2 linked regions of the Arabidopsis thaliana genome follow. The protein of the gene in region 1 interacts with the protein of each later gene in a pairwise test. Each region holds a gene or a part of one and is shown on either strand. Other genes may lie near its edges.

The links. Proteins that work in one complex are often made in the same cells at the same time.
Region 2: the proteins of TRB2 (region 1) and ETL1 interact in a two-hybrid assay, tested with the Arabidopsis thaliana proteins (one study listed by BioGRID).

Annotation. Positions count from the first base shown.
Region 1 is NC_003076.8:26,953,452-26,961,256, forward strand, and holds TRB2 (Homeodomain-like/winged-helix DNA-binding family protein), read right to left. Parts: upstream 4,324-7,805; 5' UTR 4,073-4,323; intron 3,657-4,072; 5' UTR 3,623-3,656; coding exon 3,473-3,622; intron 3,396-3,472; coding exon 3,175-3,395; intron 3,091-3,174; coding exon 3,006-3,090; intron 2,933-3,005; coding exon 2,849-2,932; intron 2,752-2,848; coding exon 2,392-2,751; 3' UTR 2,117-2,391; downstream 1-2,116. Other genes in the region: DG1 (Tetratricopeptide repeat (TPR)-like superfamily protein), read left to right, coding at 29-220, 332-445, 543-636, 727-884, 965-1,372, 1,445-2,029; FRO1 (NADH-ubiquinone oxidoreductase-like protein), read left to right, coding at 4,622-4,780, 4,928-5,016, 5,201-5,330, 5,512-5,541, 5,849-5,905; WIH1 (cysteine-rich TM module stress tolerance protein), read right to left, coding at 6,303-6,348, 6,486-6,642, 6,730-6,775; AT5G67610 (transmembrane protein (DUF2215)), read right to left, coding at 7,773-7,805. UniProt on the Arabidopsis thaliana protein: Binds preferentially double-stranded telomeric repeats, but it can also bind to the single G-rich telomeric strand.
Region 2 is NC_003071.7:519,555-527,585, reverse strand, and holds ETL1 (SNF2 domain-containing protein / helicase domain-containing protein), read right to left. Parts: upstream 4,364-8,031; 5' UTR 4,106-4,363; coding exon 3,521-4,105; intron 3,325-3,520; coding exon 3,207-3,324; intron 3,127-3,206; coding exon 3,086-3,126; intron 3,002-3,085; coding exon 2,751-3,001; intron 2,682-2,750; coding exon 2,501-2,681; intron 2,392-2,500; coding exon 2,206-2,391; intron 2,121-2,205; coding exon 1,947-2,120; intron 1,865-1,946; coding exon 1,706-1,864; intron 1,615-1,705; coding exon 1,537-1,614; intron 1,440-1,536; coding exon 1,303-1,439; intron 1,213-1,302; coding exon 994-1,212; intron 865-993; coding exon 702-864; 3' UTR 518-701; downstream 1-517. Other genes in the region: IDD4 (indeterminate(ID)-domain 4), read left to right, coding at 6,416-6,605, 6,926-7,322. UniProt on the Arabidopsis thaliana protein: DNA helicase that possesses intrinsic ATP-dependent nucleosome-remodeling activity and is both required for DNA repair and heterochromatin organization.

The sequences.
Region 1 (7,805 bases):
ATTAACTCTCATTCCTTAGTCACTTTAGGGTGATCGCCAGTTATATCCTGATATGGCGGCGTACCACTGTATTGCTGTAACACTTGGGCAAGCGGGTTTATTGAAGGAGTTGCTTAAAGTAATCGAGCGTATGAGGCAGAAACCGACTAAACTAACTAAGAATTTGCGGCAAAAGAACTGGGATCCTGTGCTTGAACCTGACTTGGTTGTATACAACGCTGTAAGTGAGCATTTCCGAGTTTTAAACTTCGTTTAATATCTATATGCACTATGCAGCGAATCACTGTATCTTATTGCTGTGTGATCAATTCTTGGCTTCACTGGTTCCCAGATTCTTAACGCTTGTGTTCCAACACTCCAATGGAAGGCTGTTTCATGGGTATTTGTAGAGTTAAGAAAAAATGGTTTGAGGCCTAATGGAGCTACATATGGGCTTGCGATGGAGGTAGCGTTCTTTTTTCCAACATAAACGAACTGCTGTGGTGTAGTATTTGTGGGTACCCTCAAATATGTAGGGTGGTCTTAAGATGTCATTTTGACAGGTTATGCTGGAGTCAGGGAAGTTTGATCGTGTTCACGATTTTTTTAGGAAGATGAAAAGCAGTGGCGAAGCTCCAAAAGCAATCACATACAAGGGTAAATATTGATTCTCTCTGTATATTTAGGTTACTTCATTTTGGTATCTATAAGGTGATATGATTCTTATAGCGTATGATTGATTCTCAGTTCTTGTCCGAGCTCTCTGGAGAGAAGGCAAGATCGAAGAAGCTGTTGAAGCAGTCAGAGATATGGAACAAAAGGGAGTTATAGGAACGGGTTCAGTTTACTATGAATTGGCATGCTGTCTGTGCAACAACGGGCGTTGGTGCGATGCAATGCTCGAAGCAAGTTCCCTCCTACTTTACCCTTTTTGCTTCTCAGAGAAACCCACAAAATTAACTTTCTTCATAATTCATTAATGCAGGTGGGGAGGATGAAAAGACTTGAAAATTGCAGGCCGCTCGAGATTACCTTCACAGGACTCATAGCCGCTTCATTGAACGGTGGTCATGTTGATGATTGCATGGCTATATTCCAATATATGAAAGATAAATGTGATCCGAATATAGGAACTGCGAACATGATGCTTAAAGTTTACGGAAGGAATGATATGTTTTCAGAAGCTAAAGAATTGTTTGAAGAGATTGTCAGCAGAAAAGAGACTCATTTAGTTCCAAACGAGTATACATACAGCTTCATGCTTGAAGCTTCAGCTAGATCACTGCAATGGGAATACTTTGAACATGTGTATCAAACGATGGTTCTTTCTGGTTACCAAATGGATCAAACAAAACATGCATCAATGCTGATAGAAGCATCAAGAGCCGGGAAGGTAACAAATCTTTGTCTAGTTTAAGTGTTTATGGAAGCATAAGCTGTTGTCTAATTTTGTTTGTTAATGCAGTGGAGTCTTCTAGAGCATGCCTTCGATGCAGTACTTGAAGATGGAGAAATCCCTCACCCATTGTTCTTCACTGAACTGTTGTGTCATGCCACAGCTAAAGGCGATTTCCAAAGAGCTATCACACTGATTAACACTGTGGCTCTCGCATCTTTCCAGATTAGTGAAGAAGAATGGACTGATCTTTTTGAGGAGCATCAAGACTGGCTTACTCAAGATAATCTTCATAAGCTCTCGGATCATCTCATTGAGTGTGATTATGTAAGTGAACCAACGGTCTCAAACCTCTCAAAGTCATTGAAATCTCGATGTGGGTCTTCTTCTTCTTCAGCACAACCATTGTTAGCCGTAGATGTAACAACTCAAAGTCAGGGCGAAAAACCGGAGGAAGATTTGCTTCTGCAAGATACAACAATGGAAGATGATAATAGTGCTAATGGTGAAGCTTGGGAATTTACAGAGACTGAACTCGAAACGTTGGGTCTAGAAGAACTCGAGATTGATGATGATGAAGAATCTAGCGACTCTGATTCACTTTCAGTTTATGACATTCTGAAAGAATGGGAAGAGAGTAGTAAGAAAGAATGAAAATGCTTGTAAATTTCCTCAAAATCTTTAGTAGAACAAAATCTCAATTTTTTTGCTTACTCATCTCACTTCAAAATAGTTTCAAGGTTACTAAACAGATCATCCACATACAATAAAAGATCAGTTATACAGAATCTCAGATTCGGAGAAAGAACATACATATGATCAAACTGCGGATTTACACTGTTACTAACCAAAAAAAGAGAGCAGATAGGTTTGGAAACTTAAAAAACTCTGCAGGTGATGAGATATCGCCTGATTCAAGATCGGCACTCTTAAGAAACCAGTAAACCCACTAAGTATATATATTTTATGGCTTGCTTTGTTACAGAACTTCCCCATGATGGCTATTTCTTTCTGTTTCACCAAGGATGATTACGGATCCTGAACTTCAAAGCTTTCATGGCTGCCTTTGCAAATATCTGAGCAGCTTCAGCTTCTGCTTCTGCTCTTTCTGCCTCTTTTGCTGCTTGTTCAGCCTCTGTGATAGCAAATTCTGCCTCTGCAACTGCTCTTGCTGCAGCCTCTGCAGCTTCTTGAGCTGTCATGCCTTTTATCATATATAATTCACCGTCTACTCGGAATTTAGTGAGACTGTTGGCACCGTTCTCCTCGGGTTTTGTTGGGTCTTTCTTGTTGTTTCCTTCCAGAAAGAGTTGAGGAGCCTTCTGTCTTGCACCTGCGGGAATAAAATTAGAAGAAAACCTGTACTTGTGCTTTATCTGAAAGTGAGAAATCACCAAGTAAGTATTTTTGAAAATTCTGAGAGTAATGAAGTGTTAGTGATCATGAATCTTGAATCAAAAGTTGTGTGTTTACCTTAACTAATGTTCCATTCGATGATAAATGCTTTAATCGTACTGCGACATGCCTTTTCATATTCGGTGGAGTCTTGAAATTCTCCTGAAATTTAACAGCTACTAAGTAAGTATGCAACAAACCCCAACCAAACATGTAATCCCAATGGTAGAAATACCTCTATATACAGAAAGATTGATGTTCTGTCAGAACCGCGTAGTTCCCTCAAGTTGGTAATTGCCTCAAAGATGATCTTATCCAAACTACAAAAACAGACAATAGCGCAAGATCAAATCTTTATGAACTCAAGAAAATCGTTATGTGGTGCATAAGTCAGGGAACCAAACCTTGTAATTGATCTCTTAGAAGCACAAGTGCGTGGTGATCCACCACCAGAACCTCCGGGGGAAGTTGGTTTTGCACGTTCATCATCATTAGTCAAAGCCACAATGGTAAGAGCTGTGTTGTTATCATCCTGTTTAGTACCTGGTGGAGTCCTCTTAAGCGCAAGTTTAGCCTTCTTCCTTGAACCCCATAAAGCTGTCACGCTTATATTTCTCCATTTGTCCTGTTATGCCTTGAACTATCAAGATTAGTCCGAAACACGCGATCACAACCTCCAAAAAGCATATTATATTGTATTACCTTAAGATCAACATTAGAGCGAGACTTAAGGATTAAACTAAACTCAGTATCCGAGAGTATGGTACGCCACTTCCCAGTCCCATGCTTAAGAACTCCAGCTTTAAGAGCTGCTTCTTCTTCCGGTGTCCACTTCTGCTTTGGTGCACCCATCCACAGTTATCAATATTTGAATTTCTTCTTTTCTCTGCCAATAGATGTGAACGCTAACATTAGAATCTGTTAAATCGTACGAAACTTAACCACATCAAAGCCATTGTTGAACATTTCTTATCCAATACAAAATTTTGGTCATCTAAATCCAGCAGATACACAAAGCCACAACATAAAAATGTAACTACACAAATCCAAAGAAATTAGATACGCCCCAAAGCTCAATTCAACAAAAAAATGAGTGATTCGAGCAATCTCGAACCAAAAAAAGAGGATCAAAGCCCATTAACAACGTCGCAAATCAACAGGAATTTGGAAATACAGCCATCAATCTAAAGCGATAGCTAAATTATCAACCAAATTCAAATGGGGCGATCGTAGAAAATTAAAAACAAAAATGGAAAATTCAGAGAAGGAAGCAGAAAGGAGGAAGGAGGAGAAGAAGCATGCCAGATCAAACGAAACCAAAGGAGAGTTTTCGAGAGAGAGACTTGATGATGAAAGCTAATTCCTTGTATAGATGTGTCATAGATCAAATGTGATTCGCTGAAACGAACGAAGAAGAAGAAGACCAGAGAGGCTAGCATAAGGAAGAAGAATATCCATAGAAACGAGAAACAAACTTGAGCTTTTCTTTTGTATTCAAGCTAAGGAAGATGTAACCCTATATTTCTCCACATTCACAAATTTGCCTCAAGTTTATCAAATTACACAATAAAACCTACCAACTAAATGAATAGGATCAAGCTGAATAAAATATACTAGTACTATTTTTTAAAAATAATGTATCTATAAAATTTATCGTTGTTAAATCTCACAGATAGTTTAGGGGCTATTAAAGATTTTTCATATAATAGTAAGACCGAAAGCGTAATTTATAAAATTTTGATGGCTAGATTGAAATATGTGTTTTTTTTTTCTTTCTAAAATCTACAGAAGTAGAAGAAACCAAAGCGAAATCAAAAAGCTCAGCAATTTTCCAGATTTCTCTAATTGACGATGGCGCTTTGTGCTACTACTCAAAGGACTATCCGTATAGCGGCGACGCTCCGGCGTGTTGCTCGACCTTTCGCTACTGACGCGGTGGTTGAGTCGGATTACAAGCGTGGTGAGATCGGTAAGGTCTCCGGAATCCCAGAGGAGCATCTTTCTCGCAAGGTAAATAAGCATTCGATTTCTTACGAATTCAGTTTAGAAAATTAGGGTTCGTGATCAGAGAATCGTCTTAATTGAGCTACATCGTGTTCTTGATTTGATTTTGGTCAATCGAATAGTGCTAAGAGTATTGAATTTGGAAATTAACAGGTGATAATATACTCACCTGCTAGAACAGCTACCCAGTCAGGATCTGGAAAACTCGGAAAATGGAAGATTAACTTCGTCTCCACCTTAAAGTATGCTACTTTTTGATTAAGATAATCCTCTTTTCCTCACATTTTATGTCCTAATATGATTCTTATCCTTAAAATTCCTATCTTTTCAAAACTTAAGTCTTCTGCTTGTGACTAGTACTAGTCCATCACTTGTTGATTAGATTTCGATTGACATCACTTATCTATGGCATTCATATGTTTCTAGGTGGGAGAATCCGTTGATGGGATGGACTTCTACAGGTGACCCCTATGCTAATGTTGGTGACTCTGCTCTTGCTTTTGATTCTGAAGAAGCTGCTAAGTCTTTTGCTGAGCGTCATGGTTGGGATTATAAGGTACGTTGTTTCCTTCTTCGTTTTTAGCTCATTTTTTTTTCTGGTCGCATTCACTCACATTTTATGAGAATGTGATGGTTCTGTTTTTTTTTTTTTTCGATCACCATTGTGATGGTTCTGTTTTAAGATCCCTTAATATAGAATTCAGAGTACTGAAAAACTTACATCTAAATCATTGCAGGTCAAGAAGCCCAACACACCATTATTGAAGGTTAGTAACTATCTTTTTGCTAATGCCGCATTATGACTTACGAGCTCTACTCATATGAGGTGTTTAACCCTAAAGCTGGAGATTCACTGGAACGACCCTTGAATGTTGTGTTAAATAGATAGGATATTCTTTAACTTAACTCATATTGCTTCATCAGAAATGGTTTGGTGCCTCTAGTTTAAGATTTAGCTACTAGTTTGACGAGCGATAGTCTCTTTCATTCCTTTGATTTATTTGGTAGAACATTCTTTAGATTGAAGTTTTAACCTAACCCCATGATTGTTCATCATCTAACATCTAACTGCAGGTCAAGTCTTACTCGGACAACTTCAAGTGGAAAGGCAATCCTCAACCAGAAAACTGATGTTACACCTTCTTCCAATTCTTCTCGAGCAAAAGAAGAAACCTCATTTGATATTAATTCTCATGTTTCTTTGTTATTTTAGCATCTGTGAGCTTTTTGGTTGAAAAGAACCATTATCCATGGCTATGTTTACTTATTACAATAATATGATGATGATGATGAAACACACTCCTTTGATATTTCATCAAGATTTCTGATCACTTCTTTACTGGTTTATTTCGAATTCGTGTGATTGGATTATGAAAGAGAGAGATAATTATGGTCGGAGTCAATAAAACATAAGATACCAAAATTCGAATTGAAAGAAGATAACAACAGAAGAAAGATTGTTGAACATTACATAACATATATGAGGAAATAAAAGTTGACTGAGGCAACGTATATAATTATCCTCCGATCAGAAACATGCATCCAAGAGACAGCAACAACAGAGCGCAGCCAAACTGTGACGTATTTATGAACAGAGCAAAGACATATATTAACTAATACAGTATTATTCCACTAAAACCTAAATACAAAGCAAAACAAGAAACCAAAATAAAGTTAATATAAAGTAGAAAAGATGGGATCAAGAACGTACCATCCTTCAAGCATACCGGCGTTTTGCTTCTGCTGCGGAGCTTGAGAGTACTGCGGCGGAGGATAACCTTGTGCAGGGTATCCCTGAGCATATCCTGGCGGTGGATAACCGGCTGGAGGATAACCGGCCGGAGGATAACCGTCCTTAGGTGGATACCCTTTAAACCGAAATTCAAGAGCAAATTAAACAAGCAGATCGAAGAAGATAAACCAACTATCCAAAACTAAAGAAAAAGAGATAATACCTTGGGGAGGAGGAGCACCGACAGGATGTTGTTCTTGATGATACATCTTTCTTCTTCTTCTGAGTTCTTTGAGCTTTTTTTTCTTTCTCTCTTTGTTTAAAAGCAAACTCTGTTCCTTTCCTTTATAACGAAGCTATGCCGGTGAGGAATAATGATATATACTTTTAATTTAATAAAGGAACCAGAAAATAAAGGAAATATTCTTTAAATAAAGTCTTTCTTGCATCATAAAGATTACGATTAAATTTCTTTGAAAATTAGGTGATCTTCTTCTAATGTGCTAGAAACTTGACCGTACAAGAATTTAATTTCAACTACTCTACTACTAGAATCATTAATTATGGAATAAAAATATCAGAAAAGGGGTTCTTAGTAATCATAAATTTACACTGTTTTAAATTCTAACTCCAAAATGCTGCATCATATGTTTCAAATTCAAAAGAATTAAGCAAATTATGTCAACAAATTGACAAAAAAAAGTTTAAGTTACTATGAAGTTAAAATCACTATTTGACACATAATTTACCCTCTTCTTTTGCTAATACAATGAATACATTTCCGTCAATTTTTCAATATCCATCGTTATCCTTGTACTATCATAATAGGAGAAGAAAACCAAATATAATACAACTTCCTCGCTTGAATAAAAGTTTGAGAGAATTTCAGAATTCGAGAAAAATATGAGTTTTATCCACCCACATGTTAGTCCATATTCCCATGTCATAGATAATCATATTGTAATATTCGAATATTAATATCCATACTAAAAGATTCACATCACCATGAAAAGTTGAACCCATTCAAGATCATAAAAGGAAAAAGAATGCTCATTGCATTGTCTACACACAAACATGACGCAACCTAAAAACCCAATTAGGATCGTTACAACAAATCGTGGTCTCATCCACAAAAAAAAAAGCTAAAACACTGAACAAGTCATAAAAGAAGAAAGCAACTTTACCTACAAAGGCTCTCTCTCTTTCTACAAAAGAGTTCCTTTTCTCTCTAAACGTTATGAAACTTAAACCGGCTTGGTTCAGAAATCAGAACCAACGCATCCATTTCCGTGGCTGGTT
Region 2 (8,031 bases), on another chromosome or scaffold:
AGAACACCTTCAAAACGTGACTTGGCAATGGCAGTTACCACAAAGAATCCAAACTTAGTATGGCTTTGATTTACTAGTGAATTATTTTGTATAGTCATATTCAATTATTTAATCGCAATAATATAATCATGAATTTGAACATTTTCATAGATATTTATCTTCAAATGTAGCAAAAAAAAAAGACTATCTAGAATTTATTCCAAGTTATCTAGAATTTTTCAGCTAAGAAAAACTTATACTATGTGACATTCTTGAACCAATCCTAATAGAACTAGTTGTTCATTGTTAGGTTTCGGCAAAGACAATGGGAAAACAATCTAGTGAGATTTGTGTCTTATACAACTCTGACGAATAAAGATACTTGAGACCTTTAATCATTGCGTGAGGTTTTCAATTTTGATACCTACAAATACAGCTAAGTCACTCCTTTATACAATCTTTGATGATCGAAGACTAAACTATCCTGAAGGTTCACTTCATTTGATCACTGATCCACATTTTAGTGTTTGGAACAATTGTGACTTTTAGGTCTAAAGAAGGAAATTTTTGGGTTATAATTTACATGCGTAGAAGAAAATATAACTATCGTGATCTATTAAATTTAAGTCTAATAATAGCTAGTGGTTACACATGTTTAGAATAACACATTAACTTCGTTTCTTGACTAATTTTACCTCAAAACAAAAAAGGTAACAATAATGTTATCCCATGAGAAGAGAAGCAAGAATCTCTCCCATGGTTTTCTCAGGCGTGTCTCCGTTGTCATCTACGTGAACTCCGGACTCTAGAACCGCCGCATCAAGAACTAGTTTCCGCTTCGCTATCTCGTAGATGTTCTCATCAACCGTCGATTTCGTCACCAGTCTGCACCAGCATTGCCAGAGTTAATACAGATATATGTGAGAATACAAAACAGAGCACACATAAACCAATCCAAACCACAATTTTGTTCTGAAAGTTATCTAAACTGATTCAAGGATTTAAAGCTCAAACCTGAAGATAGTGACTGGTTTTGTTTGACCAATACGATGGCAACGATCTTCAGCTTGCCGATCAATCTGTGGATTAAAATCCATATCGTGAATAATGACTGTATCCGCTCCGGTTAAATTAAGACCTTGTCCACCTGCTCGAGTTGACAAGAGACATGCGAATATCGACTTATCGTTGTTGAATGTGTCGACTATGGTTTGTCTATCTGTAACTTGAGTACTGTTGAAAACAAAAGGAAAATGACTTAAGCTTCTTCCTTTTTGTAGAATCGTCAAAAATGTGACAAATTACTCTTTTTTCTTTTATTACCTGCCGTCAAGTCTTCGGTATGTAACGCCGATGACATCAAGTGTCCATTCTAAGATATCGAGCATCGATGTCCATTGACTAAATATTAGAACACGATGGCCGGATTTCTTCATTGAAGGGAGAAGCTCAGCTAATGTCTGATACATAAAGGGAGATTTAGATCGCTCACAGGTTTAGTTATACTTAATCAGTTTCACAAAGAAGACTTATGAAATGAAGAAGAATATCACGTACCCGACATTTTGCTGAGAGCATGACATGTTTGTCTGAGAGAGTTCCTTTGGTATCGTTAACTCCATATTGGAACAAAAGCTATGGAAAGAAACAAGTTAGTTAGCTTCTTCAATTGCATAACATGTTTGTTAATGGATATTCAACTGCTTTTGGAAAGAGAAACATTTACCTGGTGGATACGGAAATCGTTGAAACCCTTAACTTCCTCGATAACTCTATCCAAGGAACATTCAAATCCAAATGCACCGATTGGGTGCAATTTCCTGGCGATGCGAATGACATCCTCATCGCTGTATATCCGCCTAATTAACAATGGATGGTTTGCAATCTGTACAACCAAAATTTAATAACACATGAATAACACACTCATTTGGCACAAAAGGGGCTTTGTATTAGTAGCTGAGAATTACCTTCCGGAATTGAGTAAAATAGTTTGAAATTTGACGCTTTGGAAGTGCCTTGGCTAAAGAATTCAAGGATTTTGATGAAAGCTTCACAAGCCGTGCTTGAGAAGCAGCACGATACTCCTCTATGGCTTCTTTATATGCATCTTCCTGCTTTCTCTCCATTAATACATATTCAACCTGCATTGGATTGATGGGAAATTAATGAGATTTGCAGCTAGAAGATTAATATCGTGTACTTAATTGTGCATAGATATATCCATACCCGCTGTATCTTCGGAACAAGTTGCTGCATGACATCAGATTTTAAACGCCTCAAGATGAAAGGACCTAAGATAGATTTCATTCGAGTAATCAACTCAGTATCTTCTGCATTCAACAACTTCTTCAAGTCAACATTCTCTGTCGTAAATATATCAGGCAACATGAACTCCAACAGCGACCATAGTTCCTGCATAGACCAAACATATGCAGGGAATAAGCATTGTATGACCACATGAAGAAATGTCGTCTATATTAGGTAATTAGATCCTGAAAAAATCAACAGAAACCAACCGTACATGCAAATCATTTTGTAGAGGCGTTCCTGTAAGCATAAGACGCTGGTTTGCGTTTCTGGCCACAGACATCAAGTTTTTCCACCTATAACTATTCTTATCCTTTAACGCATGGGCTTCATCCATCAAAACACAGCTCCAGCGCCACCGTTTCAGTACTTTTCGGTCATCTTTCTGTTGTTCACTGTAAAATTCCAACATCTGTGAGTAACAGGAAAAGCCAAAAAGCAAATAAAAGCATCAAGAGTTGCACCTATGCCGTTCAAACAGAGAGTAACACACAAGAAGCACATTGAATGGTGGTGGCTTCCCAGCTTTTGACAAAGAATTCAATTCTCTTGAGTAGGCTGCTCTCGCAGCTCCGTGGTATTGAAGTACAGTAAACGACGGACACCATTTTCTGAGCTCTCTCTCCCAGTTTTCCAAGACAGAGGCAGGGCATACAACCAAATGAGGACCAGGGTCATTGTTTAAGCGACTTAGGAGGGTTAAATATGTGATTGCCTAAGGTAAATGAGAACAAAATTAGTTCTTTATAAGATAAAGAAACAAAGAAAACTTATCCAGTAATAACAGAGCAAAATGCACCTGAATGGTCTTTCCAAGACCCATCTCATCGGCTAAAATGGCTACAAACAATAGAAAGTGAGTTACAAAGTGACATTCACGCTAAAAAGGTTTACAGATCGAAACTAGTAAAAACACATACCTCCTTCAATTCCTTTCTTATACAACAGAAGAAGAAAGTTAACACCAACTAACTGGTACGGCTTGAGTATAGGCTGAAAATCAGAATCCTCTGCTTTACATGCATCATCAATATCATTCTGCGATCATCACAGATTCAACCCAAAAGTAAACAAGTTTTAGTTAACAAAACAGTAAACTCTAACCAAACCAATCAAAGCTTACCACCAAAATATGCTATCTAATCAAAAGTTACTTCACAATTGTATAAGGAAGACACTCTAAATCGTCTCAAAGCAACTACTTTAAGAACACCAAAGTGATAATTTCCAGTACCTGTGTGACAATCCTGACAGTAGAAGTTTCAACTTCAGAGTATCTATCAGTAACACCAGAAGAAGTACCATAAAGCTCTTTTCGAAGATCCGCTGAGATTTTAGCACACTTTTGCAATGCCTTCCCCACAACATCTTCATCTTCTCCTCTCCTTCCTCCACTTCCTCCTCCTCCTCCTCCAAATTCATCCTCACTAGCACTACTCTCAGCCTCATCATCATCATCATCACTCGCTTCTTCATCTTCAATCACAAATCTCCTACCAACTCTCGCAGCGCGCATCACAACCTTAGTCTCTTCCACTTCTTCTTCATCCTCTAACAACAAATCCTCACCATTCACAATCTTCACATCCGAATCCGAATCTCCCAAATCCTCAATCTCAACACAATCACCATCGCTGCTATTACTCTCAATCGTCATCGCCGTCGAAGGTCTCCTAAACGCAAAAGACTCAATCGACGGCGTTGGATTCGTCGCCGCGCGAGTCTTCTTCGGAGTCCGTGGTCGTTTAAGAACTCGCGAAGCGTTAAACGAGTGTTGAGACCACTCTTCCTCGGAGATTTCGTCGAAATCGCGTTTCATCTTCCGAGAATTTACGAATCCCAGATTGAATTGAAATTGAGAAGAAGGGGAAAAAAAATTCACATGAAGAAAATTGAAAACCCTAGATTGAGATTGAAGTGACTATTATTGCATCGAATTGAAGAAGAAGAAGAAGATGAAATTAAAACGAATTTAGCGGAGAAGGAAGGGAAAGGTCAAGATTTCAAAGAAAGGTTAGAGACTCAACAACGTGTTGCTTCTTACAAAAGAGCGGCATCCTCCAAAAGCTATGCGCGCGGACTTAATCTCTTAATGGGCCCCAAGAAATGGGCTCTAATGAGTACTTAATGGTGAACTTAAGGGATCCGAAGAAATGGGCCCAACGACTTCACTTTCTCGACAAATCTAAAAGCTTGTGGTTTGTTTGACGCACTTGAAAAGGGTTTTTAAATCCATGGGGTTTGCTTGAAGATTTGGTTTTGAAATGATGGTTGAGGTGAGAAATTATTTGGTTGACATGTATTCATAATGTGGAAGAATCTGAGAGTGTGTTTCGTTGGATGGTGGATACTGGATAGGAGTCTTATAAGCTGGATATGTACATTGAGGGGTATGGTAATAGAGCTTTGGCTACGTTTGGAATGTTGCGGTAAAGATAACCTCGTCGTTCTCGATCTTAATCCTCATTCTACAGGTTATTATCATTTGTATATATATGTTTACTAGCTAATCCATTAACTCTGAAAATTAATATTAACTCTCGGAATGGCAGAAACAGAGTTGTTATTGAGTTTCTCTGACCTTGCCATCTTGGTGACGGCAGTTTCAAATACTAAATATTTCCATACAATTTTGGTTCATCTAAAACAACTGGGTCTTGGGCTGTTTGTGGTATATCTCTCCTTATATAGGCTCTTTTGTGTGCGTGACTGTGTGCTATTTCATATTACTAACTTGAAATCATATTACAACCCAATCAGGGAGGCCCTGATTGAATATGGCCCGGCACTGACCCATTGCAGTTGGTACGATCTCAGTATAACTTAAAAAGCATCGATGGTAATGAAGAGAGGATCAAGTTGAGAAGTCACCTGTTACTTAAATATGTTGTCGTTTGTAAACTAAAATAAAACTAAATTGTATAAGATTAAAAAGCCCAAGTGAAAAGGAGAAAATCAAACTTTACGGTCGAATAATAATATATCAATAATATTTTCTCAAAGCTCTTAAAGTGATATTGGAGATTTTGTGATATATCGTTTTAAAATCTATTCAGATCGGTTGAGAGTTGGTTACTCGTTCAGGATTAATTAGGTTTGATTCAAAACCAATCGGTTCGATTGTTTTGCATTGAACATTCTGAAAGGTTGAAGAATTGAACCAAAGAAGAAAAGCAATATATTAATTTTCATACAAGAATCTAACAAATTTTAAAAAATTCTCTATTGATTGGTGTATCATGTGTATTAATATACGATATGTTATATTATAAACGATTTTATTAGATAAAAACAATTAAAAAAAAGTTAGTACAACAAAACCTAATCAAGTTAAATGAAGAGAAAACGAGGGTTTTGTCTTAAAGCTCACCAGAAAGATACGAATGAGAAAAATGTGGTACCCACAACACACCCCCGCATGTGGACACATTTCACCGTTTTAACAGTGACACCCAAACCGTAACCATCCTTCTTAATTCTGTCAAATTAAATTATAAGAAAGAAAAAAAGTAGCTTTATTTTATATTAATCGAAATAAAATAAAATGATAGAGACAGAGAGGGGACCTTAGAGACATACTTTTCAAGATCATTTCATATATGGCTTATTTTTAAAAGAAGAAGAACACAAAACAGTAGAGAGAGAAAGAGATATAGAGATAGAGAGAGATAGGGCTTTGAGGTTTGTGTTTGTATTATAATACATAATATATAGGAATAGTGTCTTCTTCTTCATCATCATCTTCTATCTCATCATCATCATCATGCATCATCTTCTTCTTGGTTCTTTCTTTAGCTCCGATTTATAGCTTTTAATTTTGACTATTTTTTTTCCTTCTTCTACTTGGTTTCTTTCTCTTGATCTCAGGTACAAGAAAAATACAACTTAGAAATCTTTCCTCTTAATTCTTTCAAAAGTTTAGGAACAAAAAACAAAAGTATAAACTCTTAATTTGTTTTTCTTTGTTTATGTCTTCTAGTGAAATGGTTTTTATAAAATTTCTTCATGTCGTCAATCTCTATGGATTTTTCCTGTTCTTATAATTCCTCCCTTCGTTTTCTTCTTAACTTTTTTGTCTTACGAATTATTTGTAGATTATTCTCTTCCACGCAAAGAAGAAGATCTAAAGATGTCGTCATCATCATATAACACAAGCGTTATTCCTTCATCATCATCCTCTGCTCAGCCTTTCTTCATCACCAGCTCCGGCACCGGAGATAACGACTTTAACCGGAAAGATACTTTTATGTCAATGATTCAACAACCTAACTCCTCAGCTCCACCACCCAAGAAACGAAGAAACCAACCCGGAAACCCAAGCAAGTATCTCTTACATATAAATCTCTATATATTTATCACCTTTCTATAAGAATCACTATATATAAGCTTTAAGATAATACCAAGAAGAAAAAGAACCCTAATCATTTGTTCTATTTTGTTTTGTATATCTAGCTAGTATCAAGATTTCATATATATTGACAGGCCAGTATATCTTATATGTTTATACGTGTATATGTCATTTGATTTATGTTTACATGTGTGTGTATCATTTTTTTCGATATAGTCTACATAGATTGACATTTTGGGTCTAATTGGTGACTTAATTTAAATGATTAAATTCTTTAATTATATGAAACAGATCCTGATGCGGAAGTGGTAGCATTATCTCCAAAGACACTAATGGCTACAAACAGATTCATATGCGATGTATGTAACAAAGGGTTTCAAAGAGAACAAAATCTACAGCTTCACCGAAGAGGACACAATCTCCCATGGAAGCTGAAACAAAAATCAACCAAAGAAGTGAAGAGGAAAGTGTATCTTTGTCCGGAGCCAACGTGCGTTCACCATGACCCGTCACGTGCTCTCGGAGACCTCACCGGAATCAAGAAGCATTATTACCGTAAACATGGCGAAAAGAAGTGGAAATGTGAGAAATGTTCTAAGCGTTACGCTGTTCAATCAGATTGGAAAGCTCACTCTAAGACTTGTGGTACTAAAGAGTATCGATGTGACTGTGGTACCATCTTCTCTAGGTAACTAATCTCTATCCATTTCATTTAAATAATTTGTTCGTATTTGATTTAAGTGATGAAACGTATAATATATGTGTCAGTGTGTGTGGCATCTAGATATACCTTCTTATCTTGGTAAAGTATAACAATTAATGGACCACCTTTATTTTGTATTATAATGCAAAACTATTCTAAGTAAAAGCTGCATTCAACACTGCATGTAAAACTTAGCTTATTTACTAATTTACATGGAAAATACCAAATATATATAACCATCTGTGACTGAAATATTGTATATTTGGCCACGGAATTTGAACCTCGAGTACACCGCCTATAAATTGTATGTAGTCACAATGTACATAGGATCTATCAATGTATTTGTTTGGTTGTTGATGAGTAGTGAATAGAGAAAGACAGTGAATAGAAAGTAAGAAAATTTAAAAGATGCTAAATTTGGTCACATACTCACATGCATGAGTTGGATTTTGTTTTTCTATTTTCTACTTTTGTTTTCTTCTTCTTCACTTTGCAGGTTCCCCTTTTTACGAAACTCCTCTTCATTTGTGGACCCTCTTCTTATCTCTTTCTCTCTCTATGTATGTTTATATATACGTACATAGATACATACATATTTGGTAAGAGTGCGTTACTTATATTTATTACAGTGTTCTGGTGAACACTTTAATGCTCTTCTAGGGTTTCTTTCTATATTTTCATGGTTTGAGTAATA